2 linked regions of the Notamacropus eugenii genome follow. The protein of the gene in region 2 interacts with the protein of the main gene of each other region in a pairwise test. Links are inferred from orthologs where the notes say so. Each region holds a gene or a part of one and is shown on either strand. Other genes may lie near its edges.

Evidence for each region. The genes of interacting proteins can lie anywhere in the genome.
Region 1: the proteins of PPP1R12A (region 2) and ATXN10 interact in binary tests that used the Homo sapiens proteins (3 or more experiments, as listed by UniProt). The link is inferred for Notamacropus eugenii from reciprocal best matches to the Homo sapiens genes PPP1R12A and ATXN10.

Annotation. Positions count from the first base shown.
Region 1 is NC_092874.1:309,983,010-309,990,231, forward strand, and holds the start of ATXN10 (ataxin-10), read right to left. Parts: upstream 3,033-7,222; 5' UTR 2,778-3,032; coding exon 2,626-2,777; intron 1-2,625. UniProt on the Homo sapiens protein: May play a role in the regulation of cytokinesis. May play a role in signaling by stimulating protein glycosylation. Induces neuritogenesis by activating the Ras-MAP kinase pathway and is necessary for the survival of cerebellar neurons.
Region 2 is NC_092874.1:259,791,133-259,799,016, forward strand, and holds the start of PPP1R12A (protein phosphatase 1 regulatory subunit 12A), read right to left. Parts: upstream 3,009-7,884; 5' UTR 2,733-3,008; coding exon 2,496-2,732; intron 2,352-2,495; exon of another isoform or gene 2,201-2,351; intron 1-2,200. UniProt on the Homo sapiens protein: Key regulator of protein phosphatase 1C (PPP1C). Mediates binding to myosin. As part of the PPP1C complex, involved in dephosphorylation of PLK1. Capable of inhibiting HIF1AN-dependent suppression of HIF1A activity.

The sequences.
Region 1 (7,222 bases), about 50 Mb from region 2:
CTCAATTAAAGGAGTTGAAATTTCCTGTGTCAAAGCCTCAGTGGCCTCCCCCAATCTCATCTCCATTTTCTTCTGGCTCTGTCTCAGTCAATGACCCCTCCTTCACACACCAGACTCAGTCAGGTGCCCAGGAAATACAGAAGAGCCTGTCTGGGTGAGATGAAAATGAGGGACAGGGCCTGTGGCCCTCGGCATGCTGATCGCCGGAGACAACACATAGAATTCTCCCTCATCTCTTCTTATGGATGATTTTACTGACGTGGAAGATTGTTTTACCAGGAAGAAAACACCAGTTCCAGGAGCCCCAGAGACACAGGAGAGTTAATAAAAGGAGGAATCTCCACCTGAGAGAGAAGACACGATGCTGCCCACGATGGAGGGAGGAGCCCAGGCAGCAAACATCGGGGGTTTCCTGGGGACCCCAAAACTCAAAAACAAGTGAAAAGCCGCCCCTGCAAACATAGGGAGGAGGGGCAAACCCAATGAAGGAGAGGAACCAAGTAGGAGAAGAGGCAGATGGAAATAAGGGAGTGAAGATATCCTTCACCAAGGACACAATAGAGGGAAGGGAGAAGGCAGCTACTGAGTGTGAATGTGTATGTGCAGGTGTGAGTACATGTGAGTGGGAATGTGTGTGTGTGTTCATGACTATGAGTGTATATATGGGTGTGTTTGTGGAATATGTGTATGAATGCGTATGGGGGGCAGGGGGTGTAGAGGTATGTGTCTTAGCAGGATCTACCCATACCCCCTCCCCACCTCTGCCAGAGTCACCCTGGGCAGTGACACCCTTGGACTCAAGACCCCCACTGGATAGAGGTGGTATATCTTGTCCCTTCATCCCCTAGGTGCCCCATTAGGCAGCAGAAGATCCCTCCCACAGGCCACCCAAGGCCAAGATGCCACCCCACACCCAGGCTGTCTCTACCCTCCCAACACTCTCCCACATCAAGCCTGCTGGAGCAGGTCATGAGAGCTGCGCCAGGACAGGGATGTGTAGCTTAGAGGAAGGAGGTGAAGCAGCCCACAACAGCTGTCTTCAAGTAACTAAAAAGGAACGACAATGGTTCTGCCCAAGCCCAGAGGGCAGAACTTAGAGCCCATGCTGGAAACAGAGAGGCAAGTCTGTTGGCTGGCAGAGCAGGGCCCAGCCTACCAAGAGCAATGAATAAATGTTCTCTCTCTCCAACCATCCATCCTTCAATCCATCCATCCATCCATCCATCCCCTATCCTATGTCTATCCACCCATCTGTTTATTCATTCATCCATCTGTCTATTCACCCATCCATCTATCCATCTATCCATCCATCCATTCATCATGTATCCCTCTATATGCATCCCATCTATACATCCATCCATCTATCATCTATCAATCCATCCACATGAGGAAAAATTCCCTAACTCTTAGTTATGCCACAGTAGAAGGGGCTGCCTTGGGAGGTAGTGTATTGGCTTTCTCACCTTTCTCACACATCACAATCACTTGCTTATTCGATGACCTTCTGGCTCCTGCTCACACAAACCACCCAAATCACCATCTCAGTGTCTTTGCAGGGTCCATGTCCCATTCCTAGAAAGCACCACCTCTCATCCCCTTCTCAGAATCTCTGGTTTCCTCTGAAGCCCCACCTTGCACTCTGCACACACCAAGCCCAGCTAGCACCTTCTCTTCACCCTCCTCTCCAGATCACCTTGAAATAACCTTTAGATAGGTTAGATAGGTGTGTGGGGGTGTTGTTCCCCTGGATGGATTGCAATAGCATAGAAGGCAGGAGTTGCCCCATTCACGTCTGCATGCCCACCCCCAAGGCCATGGGCTGGGGATGCACTGCTAGTAGCCAGAGAATCCTGGTTGTGTTTAATTTAGTTCCAGGTCGATTATGCCAGGATTCTGTACTCAACTAGGAGGGACAGGGCTTTGGGTTTGGGTATTAACAATCTAAATGAATAAAAATTTATTTTAAAGAATCTGATCAAGCCAGTAAGATCACTGATGAAACAGAACCAACCATTCCCATGGGAATAAAATCGATCATTCAGCTACAACCAAACAGGAGTCTACACGGGGCACGCCACCTAACGTTTGAGGGGCCAGGGCAGAGAGTTGGAGACAAGGTGCTAAGGGGGATGGGAGGAAGAGAACGTTCCCACAGGCCTACTGGCGCCCGGCACCTGCTAAGCCTGCCAGCCCTTCAGTGAAGGCGAAGCTCTAGCCCCTACCGCTGTGGTCAGGCCCATGCACCGAGGCAGAAGCAGCTCGGAGAGATGTGGCGCCCATTCAGAGGGCTGGGAGGGCACCGGCTGCAACAGTAAGAAGGGAGCCAGGGCCCAGGGGCAGCCGGGCAGCCTCACCCCAAGAACTCTAGAGGGGCAGTTAATGAGATAACAAGTGCCGGCACGTTCCAGTGATCTCAGTGTCATTCCAGTCAACCCAAGAAACGTCGGAGCCGGGGATGTCAGAGAAGGAGGGGCCTGAGCGCAGGGGAGGTAGAGGGGGAGGGGCCATCTCCAGGGGAGGGCCTCTGTCTCTCTTAGTTCCTGGCTCCGGGTCGCTGCGCCCCTCCCCCTCCCCGTCCCCGAGGGTCCCTGCCTCAGTTTCTCCTCCCGTCGGCCCCTCCGTTACCGGTGTTGCTGCTCCCGGAGCAGCACTATAATCTCCCGCAACCGCTCCAGCCGCCTGCCCGGCTCGTCGTCGGCCTCCAGTGCCGCCAGCGCCGCCTCCATCGGCCCAGAGCTGAAGCCCTCAAGATACAAGCTCTCCCGGAGAGCCGCCATCTTCCGCGAGGGGGCGGGCCCTGCGCTCAGGAAACCGCCCCACAACGGCCTTCTCTCCAATCCACTGCGCCCTGCCTCCCCCAAGCCCGCCTCTCGGAGGCTCGAGTTCCGCCCCCAACGCCTTTTCCCCCAATCGGGTGTCTCTTTCCTCCTCCACCGCCTCCTTCCCGACTCCAATCCTGCCCTCAACGTCTCCGCCGCCAATCTTCGGCGGCCTCCACTTCCCGTCCCGCCTTTCAGCCTCGCGAGCCGCAGCCAATCGTCCCCTCGGCCCCGTCCCCTACACTCCCCTGAGTTTAGGCTCCGCCCCAAAGGCCTGAGCGCCCAATCCCCAGAGTGTTGAGTTCCAGGAGTCCCTCCCCCCGGGGACACAGTGGGTGTCCAGCCCCGCCCAGTCTCTGGCGCGGCGTTTCCCCAGGCACCTGGGTCAGCTCCGGGGGGCATGGAAGCCTCAAGGGAGTGGGCGAGGTGTGTCCCCTGCCCTGGACTCTACCAGTACCTTCTCCAGAGGCCCAGCCACAGGACGGTGAGAGCAGGGCTGGCGGTGCTGGGGATGCTGTGGCTGTGAACAGGCTCCGGGAGCCTCCCCCTGGCAGGAGGCGATGGGTGCGAGGTCCAACCTTGAGGGCACCTGCACATGCAGAGCCTGAGGTCTGGGGCACGTCCTGGCGGCATGTCTTCCGAGGGAGAAGGGACTTCAGAAGGGCCTGATCCAGCGCCCCCTTCCCCTGACAGAACCAGAGCTCTTTCCACCAGAGCCTGCCAAATTCATCACTTTTTAGTTCTTTTTTAACATGTATTTATTTCATTCCTTTCGGGTTTTCTGTGGATCACGAAGAAAGATTTTCACCGCGGGAGGCGTGCATTTTTGGCACGTTCACCTGTTAGGGGGTCCATTGACTGAAAACAAGTAAGGGGATTCTAATTAAGCCACACTGGTCACATTACCCTCTAACGAGGAAGTAGTTGCGGCCCACAAGGACAGAGCTGGGGGCTCGGGATGCCATGACTCTGGGAGCCCCAGAGAAAGCAGAATGCTTTCTGAGCAGCCCCGCGGATGGGTGAAGCCCCCAGCCCAGGAGGAGCGCAGCATGGCCTTACCTGGGCTTCCACAGATAGAGTACAGGCTCTGAGAACCCCCCTGAACCACTAAAAAGGGGCGGGCAGATGGCCACGTTAGGTACTCCCCGGTGGTTAAAAGGCAGGGGCATTTTTTAGGCAGGAAAAAAAGAGTGAGATGAAAGAGACTGAAAAAGAAGGAGCGATACGTGGGACCCCGGAGAGCCTGAGAAGGTGGGAAGGACGGTCTTGGCTGAAAAAGCCAGCCCTCCCTCAGAAATGGAAAGGCGTCCTCTCCTACCTCACTTTTTCTATGCCCTCCCGCGCTGTGTACCCCGAAGTGTAATCTATAGCTAATTACTTAGCTTCTCGAGGAGGGGGGAGGGAATTTGGAACTCAAATTTCAAAAAAAGTTAAGAATTGTTCTTACATGTAATTGAGAAAAAAACAATCTTCAAGTCCGACGTACTGTGTTTGTGTCTTGTGTCCCTACTCGGAAGTGAGCTACCTGAAGGCGGGGGGACCGGGGTGGGGGGTGGGGTGGGGTACTCTACCAGGCTCCCCAAGGGCGAAATCTCGCACGTTGCTGTGGTTGGGTTTGGGTTTTGGATATCGAGTGGAGGGCTAGCTGGAAAGACGCGCATCTCCAGTCAGATCTGCTGCTCGCCAACTATGAGACCTTGGCCCACTTCCCTTCCGTCTCCGGGCTGCCATTTCCCGGGACACAATGACCCCCCCAGAATCTCCGGGCTCTGGAGGGCGGAATCGGCATCGACCGACATGACCAAAGCCGAGGCTGCTTTTCTCTCCCTCTCCTTTCAGAGGCCCGAGAGCCCCAGGAGCGTGACCTGGCTGGAAAAAGGAAGACAGAGAGAGGGCCAGGGGTGGGGAAGGGTCTGTTGCTACTGGCAGAGACATTCCTGGTCCCGATTCTGCAGCCAGACGGGCCCTGCTTCTCCCTCGTCTGCCTGGAGCTAAAGCCCACATACCTTTCCTGACACCTGGAATGCTTCCTATCTTCCCCTCCTCTCTGCCAAATCCTCCCAAACTACATTCGTCTCTCGCTGCCTTCTTCAGCCTGCCCCCATCACACACACCCCTTGACTCGTTACCCCTGAGAAAACTTCCCCGCCTGGGACTGGCTGCTGGCAGCCTCTCCTCTGGGCTGGGACTGGCGGTGAGGACTCCCTTAGTTTAAAAGTGGTATTGGTGGGGAGCTCCTGCTTTGGGATTACTCCCCAACCTTCAGTCTGTCTGACAAGTCAGAGCCCCAGAGCTTTGTTGCCAAGTCCCAGCAAGGTTCTAGGAGAGCAGATTTTCTAGTGCTATGACTCAAGACCGGACCAGTGTGCTTCCTGTCTTGATTATGTGTCAGCCAGACTATTCGTTTGTAGAAAGGGCCATTTACCCTGGTACGATAAGAAGGGCTGGTATGAGACATCCCCAATCCCAAGTGTGACACTTTCCCAGCAGCCCACACAGAGTCCAAGGGGAAAGTAGGGAGCACACTCGCCTATGGGACTTTTCTCCCGTTTGTGGGGTGCTCACAGGCTCCCCTTAGGTAAGGGGCTTCTCTGCTGGGCTCTTTGCAGAGTTAGGAATCTGCCTTGCAAATCCCACACCGGCCCTTCAAAGCTCACCAGGCCCTCCATCCGACAGGGAAGGGAGGAAGACCTCAGCTGAGGTCAGATCCAAGGCCCCTCCTCCCCCCAAATGGATCCTCCTTTGCAATCACATCACTTAAGATGAGTCTTACAGATGACCCCTAAGGGCACAGCTGGCACTCCTGTTCCATGGTTTTCTCCCTTGGCCCAAAGCCTGTGATTAATTGACTGAAACAAAAGCCCTTCTCAGCCCCTCTCTGCAGGTTTGGCAGGTTCCACTGAGTTAAGTGGGACAGAGTGATTCATGTGCCTAACTTCTCAGCATGTTGGACATGCCAGTTCATCTAATCCAACCCCTTCCTTTTACAGATGAGGAAACTGAGGCCCAGAGAGGGTCACCCAGGCTGCAAGGAAGTGAGGGATAGAGCAAGGGATCAAGCCCAAATCATTCTTCAACCAGCATCTGTGTTCCAGGCATGAAACCCAGGGGATACAGAGATAAGAAAGAAACAGCCCCTGGCCTTAAGGAACTTAAAATCTATGGCAAAAACAAAAACAAAAACAAACAACAATTGCACAGAAGTAAGTGCAAACGATAAACCAATTAATGGGGGGGAGGGGCACTGGCAATGGGACAGACTGAATATAGATTGCCCACATCACATGGCACATTGCCATTTCCCTGGCATGATGACTTGGGCACAGGTCCTGTGGGAGGGGTGCACCCTTGTGCCTGGGCCAGATTTAGAGAAACCATGAGATCCTGACTGGTCAAGGATTCTTACCATCCTATTCAACCTGTGCCCTACTGTGTACGCAGCACTGTCCTAGGTGCTGGGGATACAACAAAATAGAAGTAGGGCATGCTTCCATTCTCTCAGGAGAGACAAAGTGAACACAGAGAAGTAAAGAGGTGATCTATAGGGGGAGAAAGCACTAATGACCAGGCAGATCAAGAGAGGCTTCCTGAAGGAGGAGGCACTGAGGATTCCAAGCATGGGAAGGGATGTGGAGGCAGGGACTGGATTGTCGTATTTGCAAACAGCAAATAAGGCAGATGATGAAGGTGATGATGATAGCAGCTACCATTTATATAGCACTATAAGGTTTGCAAAGCACTTTATGAATATCATCCATCTGATCCTCACCACAGCCCTGTGCTGTTATTATCCACATTTGACAGATGAAGAAACTGAGTAAGGGAGAGGTGAAATGTCCAGGGTCACACAGCTAGGAAGTGTCAGGCTAGATTTGAATTCAAATCTCCCCCCCATCAGGCCTCCACCCTGTATCTCCTGTGTCCCCAGGGTGTGTGCAATTAGGAGTGATATGAAGTAAACCTGGAAAGGTAGACTAGAGCCAGATTGCTTCTGGCACTGAGTGGAAGAGTTTGTATCCCCTCCCTCCACCAAGGCCATAGGGAGCCATGGAAAGCATTGTAGTACTAGATCAGGAACACCTGTAACCACCAGGGCTCCAAGAAGCTCTGATTTCTCTCCTCTCAGTGAAGCAGATTATAATACTTCCACAATTTAGAAGATGATCTTGGGAGGGGGTTGCTTGGAAAAAATCCATGCTCTAGGAGTCGAGCCTGGGGTGCTGATGAGCATGAATTTAGGGGATAAATCTGCTCATGATGCTTTGCTGAGCTGGTCCTGGAGATTTCAGACATGTCAAGTCCAACCCCCTCATTTTACAGAGGGAGAAACTTAGTCACAGAGAAAGGAGAAGATTTGTCCAAGACTGCCCAGCTAGTGGGTGGCATGATTGGCATGGGAGCTC
Region 2 (7,884 bases):
AGTGAAATCCGCAATTTTTTTTGTTGAAGAGACTAATAAACTAAAACAGACCAATATTTAATCCATTAAGAATTTCTGCACTGTAATATGTTTTGATGTGTCCGGCTGACACGTTATTAAATATAAAACGCTCAATTATATTTGAGGTTTTATTTAATGGATTAGTATTAAAAAAATTATTGAATTAGCTTTTTTATCATCCTTGTTATTAGGTCTGTCTTACAGCAGGAACTACAGTGGCTGATAAAACACAGGTAGCGGAGCTCTCTTAAAGATCTTTCAAACAGCTTTCTCTGTTTCAAACAAATTTCCTTTGGAACTTCCAGATCCTCTACTCTTTTCACTTTTCCAAGAGAGAAGTGCCTGCTTCCCTCACCACAATGGCAAAGTACACTCAGTGTCCAAAAAGGTTAGTGCACAAGAAATACCAATTAAGAAAAACACATGACAAAAAATAAAAAATTATCTTTCATATTTTAAAAAATATAAAACTTCACTAGTCTGAGGGCTGTAAAAATCAGATACTTCAAAGTTCTTATGCAAAAAAAGTTTTTTCTAACTAGGACTTTCTACTTACATGATGAGATAAATTATATAAACTAGTTAAAATACATTAAAGTTTACAGAGTATCAAAAATTCAACTCACTAACTCCAAAATAAAAATGAGTACTTGTTTAAAACCAAGTCAAAGTGATTGCTGTGACACTGTGTAGACAGAGACTGAAACAGTAGCTATAGAAATGGAACTGAAAAGTCACTAAATATAAATCGTGGAGTTTGAACCAATATCGTCATTAACGTATCACAAATGACCCCTTTTCTCCTCCCATTCAAATATACTGTGGTCACAGCTATAACAGGGACAAATGAAGAAAAGGTGAAACATTTTAAAATACTAAAACCAACCCTTCACGGTCTTGACGTCTGCCCAACTATATTTGCCTCTTCAAAAACCGTATTTCATAACAAAATAAACAGCACAGAATGACTTATAAAGGCATGAAGCTCTTCTCCCTAAGAATAAAGACACAAATTGCCAGGGCTGGTCATATTTAGAATTTTATCTTAATTTGAAAGGAAATCAATTTACGAAAATGCCTTTTCATTCTGACCACCTGAAGCATGAAGCGTAATCAGCTTAACCATAAAACAAACCTCAGACAACTATCATTTTGCTAGAACGGGTTACATGAGAGGAAGACAGTGACATCTCCACCATATTTTGAGGGGCATTTTACCCTACTACTTTGTGAGTAGTTTTAAGTCACGTAATTAACTTGGTAAACAAAGACTTGCCTGATCCCATGAAACAAAACTTCAAATGTACGTATTTCACTTAGACTGAAAGCAGTCAATGGCAAAGGGCTCAGAGACCTCCCTAAAATATGAGGCAAGCTCACACACATGAAACCCAAGCCCTCAGCTTCGCCCCCACGGTATCGCTCAGAGCAAAGCCGCAGCCTTCACACCCCACTTCGGTCTGAGATGCAGAGAGGTGCGCAAGGCTGTCCACTCCGACCATTCAGTCAAACATCAGCTTTCCTCTGACGAACCGTGTGCGGTTCGGTACCATGACTTCGAGCCTGGGGAAGGCAAAGCTCCACGTTATCTCTGCATCGCCCAGGGTCTCTCCTTATTTGGCTAACACTGAGAGATCCCGATCGGACTCCACTATAAAACTTTAACATGCACAAAGCATCCATTTTGAGCAAAGTTCCCAGTTTCCTTCTCCCCACCTGGCCTCGAGACGTGCACCCCGAGACGATCTCCGACCCCCCCCCCCCACTCCAGAACAGTTCCATGTCACCGATGGGCGAGTTTCGCTACAGCCGGCCCTAGAGGGGAGAGCAGGGACGGAAGGTCCCAGGCACTGCGGCACAAAGCTCCGTAGCAGACTCCCCACTTCAACCTTCCGGCGGGGGATGGGGTGGGGGGAGCCCTTCACTGTCTCCCCCCCACCCCCTCCACGTCCAGCCCTACAAGGAGAAGTGCGGCGCCAGAGTCAGGGAGGGGGACCGGCAGGAAATCGCCCCGAGGCCCGCGGGGATCCGGTCCCCCAAGTCCCCGGGCGGCCCCCCTCCCCCACACAGTATTGGGGGGCAGAAGGGTTTCTGGGCACGTAGTAGGCGCTTCTGCAGCGCTCCCGCACCGACTACTCCCCCAGTCTCACAGATCCCTAAATGCCCCCCCTTTACACACCGACGAGGGATCTCCAAGCACGCTCGCCCTGCAGCTTACAAGGCAACACACAGTAGGCGCTTAATAAGTGCTGGAGGGCTCGGCCGGGCTGTCCACGTCGGCTGGCGAAGAGAAGAGGGATCCCCCAGCGCTGGCCCATCACCCCCTCTTTCCTCTCCACTCCCACGCCTCGGACCCACCCCGCGCCGTCCTTCCCGTCCGTCCTAGGTCTCTCCCCGGGGAGGTCGCAGGCCCGGGCAGGCGGGCCGGCCGGGGGGGAGGGGACGGGGCTCCGGGCCTCGGCGCTCGGACAGACCTGGTGCAGGGCAGTGAGTCCGTCCACATTGGCGTAGTTGATGTCGGCGCCGCGGTGCAGCAGCTCGAGCACCTCGTCCGTGTCCCCGCTGGAGCAGGCCGCCAGGAACACGGCGCCGTCGTCGAACTTCACCTTGGTCTTCTGGCGCTTCACCACGGGCGGCTCGAGGTCCGTCTCGGAGCCGATCCAGCGCTTCAGCTGCTCGTTCCGCTTCTGCTTCGCGTCCGCCATCTTCATCCCCCCCTCTCCGGCCGCCGGGTCTTCTTATCGCGAGGGGAGGAGGGAGGGAGGGAGGGGGGAGAGGTGGAGGGGGGGAGCGGGCGCGGGGGCGCGCGCCGGAGCGACGAGGAGGAGGAGGAGGAGGAGGAGGGTGTGGGGAGGCAGGGAGGAGACGGGAGGAGGAGACGACTTCCGGTCTCCCACAGAGCACTGGGGCGGCGCGCACCTGGCGGGCGGACCGAGCCGGGACACAAACACTCTTTCCCTCCCCGCCCCCGCCCCCGCCCCCGCCCCTCTCAGGGCAGGCCGCTACCCGTCACCAGCCGCCTCCCGTAGGGAGACATCGCGAGAGTTGAGCGGGGAGGCGCCCTTCGCCCACTGCGCATGCTCTGTCTGCCTGCCTCCCCACACGGAGGAGGAGGAGGAGGAGGAGGAAGAGAAGGGTAACCGCCGAGAGCGGGCGCGGTGGTTTTCGGAGGGGAAGAGGGTGGGGCCTCGAGAGCCTCCGGAACCGGAGGAAGGGAAGGGGCGGGGACTGTCTTTGTGGGCCAAGGTGGGGTCGGATTGACTGTGAGCCGTCGCCCGTCGGGGACTGTGCGGAGACATCTCAATCCAAGACCTGGGTCTGATGTCGGGAAGACGCAGGTTCGAATCCTGCCTCGGACCCTCCCTGACTGACCCTGGCCCACCCATCTAATCGGCCTCAGTTTCCTCGTCTGTAAAACGGGGATAATGCCCACTTTCGCGGGGGCAGGAAGGACAAAATAACCCAACCTTTCTGTGCCTCAGTTTCCCCATCTGTAAAATGGGGGTAATTAGAGCACCTCCCTCCCAGGATTGTTTTTCTGGATCAAATGAGCTAACGCAGGTAAAATAACTTTAAGGCAAATTAGAAATGCTAGCTAGCAGTTGTTCTTAGAGAAAGAAAGACCTGGGTGTTTTAATAACAGCCTCCCCAAGCCGTAAGGATCAGAAAAGTCCATTTTACATAAAGTACTTTGCAAACCTTTAATCGATATTTCAATTTTGGATGTTGTCATTCTTATAGTGGAAGACCTAGGCTCAGATACCATAGCTGACCATCCCTAACTGTGGGACCCTGGGCCAGTCATTTAACTTCACAGTTCCTCAGTTACCTCATCTGTAAAATGGGGGGGGGGGGGGAGCTGGATGACCTCTCAGGTTCCTTCCAGCTCCAAATCTGTGGTTACTGTGATCCCTCACTGTAACTATTTATAAAGCACATTTCAGTTTACAAGGTCATGCCTCTGTGATATATGGAGTGTATTTCAGAGGGATAGTCTCAGAGCTTGACTGTAATCCTGGTATTTATACTTCAAGGTCTATATAGGTGCTGGCATCCATGATCTCATTTGGTTCTAATGTAGCAAGCCTGTGCAGGATGTACAGGTATTATCCTTCCACTTTGCAGATGAGGAAACTGAGGCCCAGAGAGGTTAAAGTGACTTGACTTAGTCACACAGCTAGAAAGTATCAGAGGTGAGTCTCTGGAGTTGCTCATTTAGGGCCTTTTTTTTTCTTTTTTTTTTCCTAATACTATGCCTCCAACTTGAAGTAAAATATATTGTTCCTTCTCAACTTATCAGGGCATGATCAAGATTATTTGATCTAGAACTATAAGATCATTTAGAGGCCATCTAGTGCAACCTTCTCATTTAATAGATGAGTTAGGCCTAAGGAAATAAAGTCAATTGGCTAAGATTTCAGAGGTGAGATTAAAACCAGGGCTTTTGACTCCTCAGCCCAGTGGTCTGGCCACTGAAACAAATGAGGACTAGATGACGCCATGGGCCCCCGTATAGCTTTGTATCTATAGCTATCTCACCTATTTCAGTCAATCAGTAAACATTCATTAAGTGCTATGTGTCATGCATTGTGCTAAATAAGCACTGGTTTCAATTCCACAAGCATTTATTGAGAGGTATTGTACCTTGGTAGGTACAATAATTGGTACCTTGGTAGGTACAAGAACCTTAATTCTGAAAGACCTGGGTTCAACTTGTCCTCCTTTGACTTAACAGGCTCTTTTTACCCTAGGAAAGTCACAACCCTCAGTGCCCCTAGGCAACTTAAATTACTGAATTGATGCTGATTTACACTGGTAAGAGTTTCTTCTTCAGGAGAAATCACAAGTCCCACCCCACCAAAAACATTATGCCTTTTATTTACTTGACGTTGTGAACCCTACCCTCAAAGAGGGAGAAATATAGGTAATTAAAAACGGAGAACTGATACAAAACAAATAAAAAATTGGGCTGAGATTAACAATTGTGGGAGGTAATAATAAGGAAGTATTCACATTCTGAATAAACTTTCTAATGTAAGGCAGCAGGTAAGTCAAATAAAGGAAGCAACTAGGTGACTCAGCTGGGCCTAGAGTCTGGAAGACCTGTGTTCAAATCCAGCCTCATACTGGCTGTGTGACTTTGGGCAAGCCACTTAACCTCCCTTTGCCTTAGTCCGCTGGAGAAGAAAATGGCAAACCTCTCCAGTATCTTTGCCAGGAAAATCCCAAATGGGGTCAGGATGAATAGGACATAAGTGAACAAGGTTGGATAATCCTAAATCTCAAGTGCAGGTGCTTTGTCACTAGTAATACCCAGTAGTGGTCCTCTCCTAATCATGCTAGACCAGCGATAAAGAAGACTACTGAACCTTGACATAGGAAAATGCAAATTCCTATCTTGTCACTGAAACAGTAAGACCATGGAGCTATGACAATGAAGTGAGATAATGTGCGTAAAGCATTTTGAAATTATTATTTCTCCCCACTGCATTTTATAGACTCTCAGAGTTGGATCTGAGGGATAATTTTGTCTTATCCACATTTAAAATCCTTTATTTTTCTTGCATAATTAATATCATATATGGGTCTTTATGACATACAGAAACATGTACTTTATCTCATATGCAGTAGCATCATGTAGACCTGGGATCAACTCCAGCCTCTGATACACACTTTGTAATCCTGGGCAAATCACTGGACCTCTCAGTATTCTAGGCAACTCTCTGAGACTACAAGAGGCAGAGAAGGTAACAATGTGCTTGAGTCATGGGAACTTGCGCAGATGGGGAAAATGAGGCATGTGAGACACAGACTCTCCCAGAATCTGTCCCATGATCTTACGTGTAGAAAACTGCAGAACCAAGATTCTAATCCAGTTCTGAGTGTGGTATAGAGGAAAGCATGATGGATTTGGAGTCACAGGACTTGGGGTCTGCTCTCAGCTCTGCCACTTGTTCCATTTGTGACTTTAGGAAAGCCATTTAAACTCCCTGGACTTCAGTTTCCTCTTCTGCCAAATGAAGGGGTTAGATTCCAGCTTTCAAACTATGACTAGAAGCGCAGATCTAGTGTTCTTAGCACAGCACTGTTTTGTGCCCCCTTTATATGTTCCTTTGCTCTTTAAGTAACCTGGTGCAATTTGTTGCTGAAGTAACAAGTTTAAGGAGAATTCAGCGTCTTTTGTATGCCTCCACCACCTAGTAGGGCAATGTACATACTTAATATTACATATTTAATTTTAAAAAACTATGTTACTACAATAATACAAATCCTTAATCAAAATTTTTTCTCATGTTTAGAGTTAGCACCACAAAGCAGTAAAAGGGTCCCTAAAGGCCATGCCTAGGACATCTGCCATACCTTTGAAAGGTCTCAGCTCTCGATTATGGAAAGCAATTGGAAAAAATCCTTTCTTGTCAGCTACTGTTTTCTCCACCCCCCAAGAAACCCAATCAGAATAACCCAGAGAAGAACCAAGGGTCACCATTTAGCCTTAGATAGCTGTTTTCCAAGAATATTTGGGTCTATTTGATAGCTCTTATAAAAGCCTTGAAAAATAGCCCCAAATACCTGTTTTGGGAACAGAGACAAGATAAAGAGGTGGCCATGCCTTGTTTTTGACTGTTGCTACAAGATGTAAAATAATTCATAGTCGAGATGAAATACTTATACAATAGTAAGAGCACTACAGAAAGAACCAGAGGCTTAAGTTTGAGTCCTGCTTCCAGGTCCAACTTTTGAGTACAACTTCCTAGTAGTGTCATTGTGGTTTGTCACTTAGTCACTCAAAAAAAAATCATTCAGCCTTATTTTCCTCATCTATTAAATGGGATAATAATTCTTTTATATAGCTAGTAGTCTTGTAAGAAAAGTCATTTTCAAACTTTAAGGCCTTATAAATATGAGTAACAAAATATAAACTACAGTGAACCTACTTTTGAGGACTACCTGTCAAAAGACAACTGTGGACAATACATACACAGGTTTGGGTTTACCTAGATTTTTCTTTCTCTTAATCTCAGTTTCAGAATGTATTCCATGATAACCCAGTGTTAATACTGATGGAACCATAAGTTATTATTACTAAAAGAAATTTGCTTCATTAATACATAATACATTAAAAGATAGCTAATTCGACAGCGATGAAGAGAAAAAACTTAATTATGATTCCTTTATAGCACTTAGACCTGGAAAAGACCTTGAAAATTGCTACGTAGTTCAACTCTTTTTACAAATAGCTTGTTTGGGCCTTTGTTTCCTTAAGAAACTGCCCTAAATCACAGTTAGTATCAGAATCAGAATTAATCCCATGTCTTCATATTTCAAACACTTTATTGTATGGTACTGTATGCTTTTATGTAGCATGCCTAAGTTCTAGCCCAACTCTCTCAGTCCTCACCCAAATAGGTAGGTAAGTTCTCTAAACCAAGAATATTATTCCTTTCAGGGTTAAAATCCTGAAGAGTTGGAGGGTAATTTTTCTGTAATAATGTTTGTTCATGAGCCTTCATCCGGTAATTTCTCCCCAATATTAATTACCAGTGATTATTGTCCCAATATCTTTTAGACCAGTTAGTATCTTCTCTTTATCATCAGAAATTAACCAATTAAAATCAGTTAGTTTTTATAAAGGAAAATTTGCTGAGAAGTTCTATAGTAAGTACCAAAATACAACAACCTCTGAAAACAGAAAGCCCACTCTTCTACATACCACCTTGATTGCTGAGGAGAGTGGACTCAAAGTGGCTACCAATCACTGTCCTCATCAAGTTCACTTCTGTTCATGGCATAACCACATGCACTGACTGATTCCGAGTGTATTCTCACTATTGATGAGAATCTAGCCAGTGTTTCCTCACCATT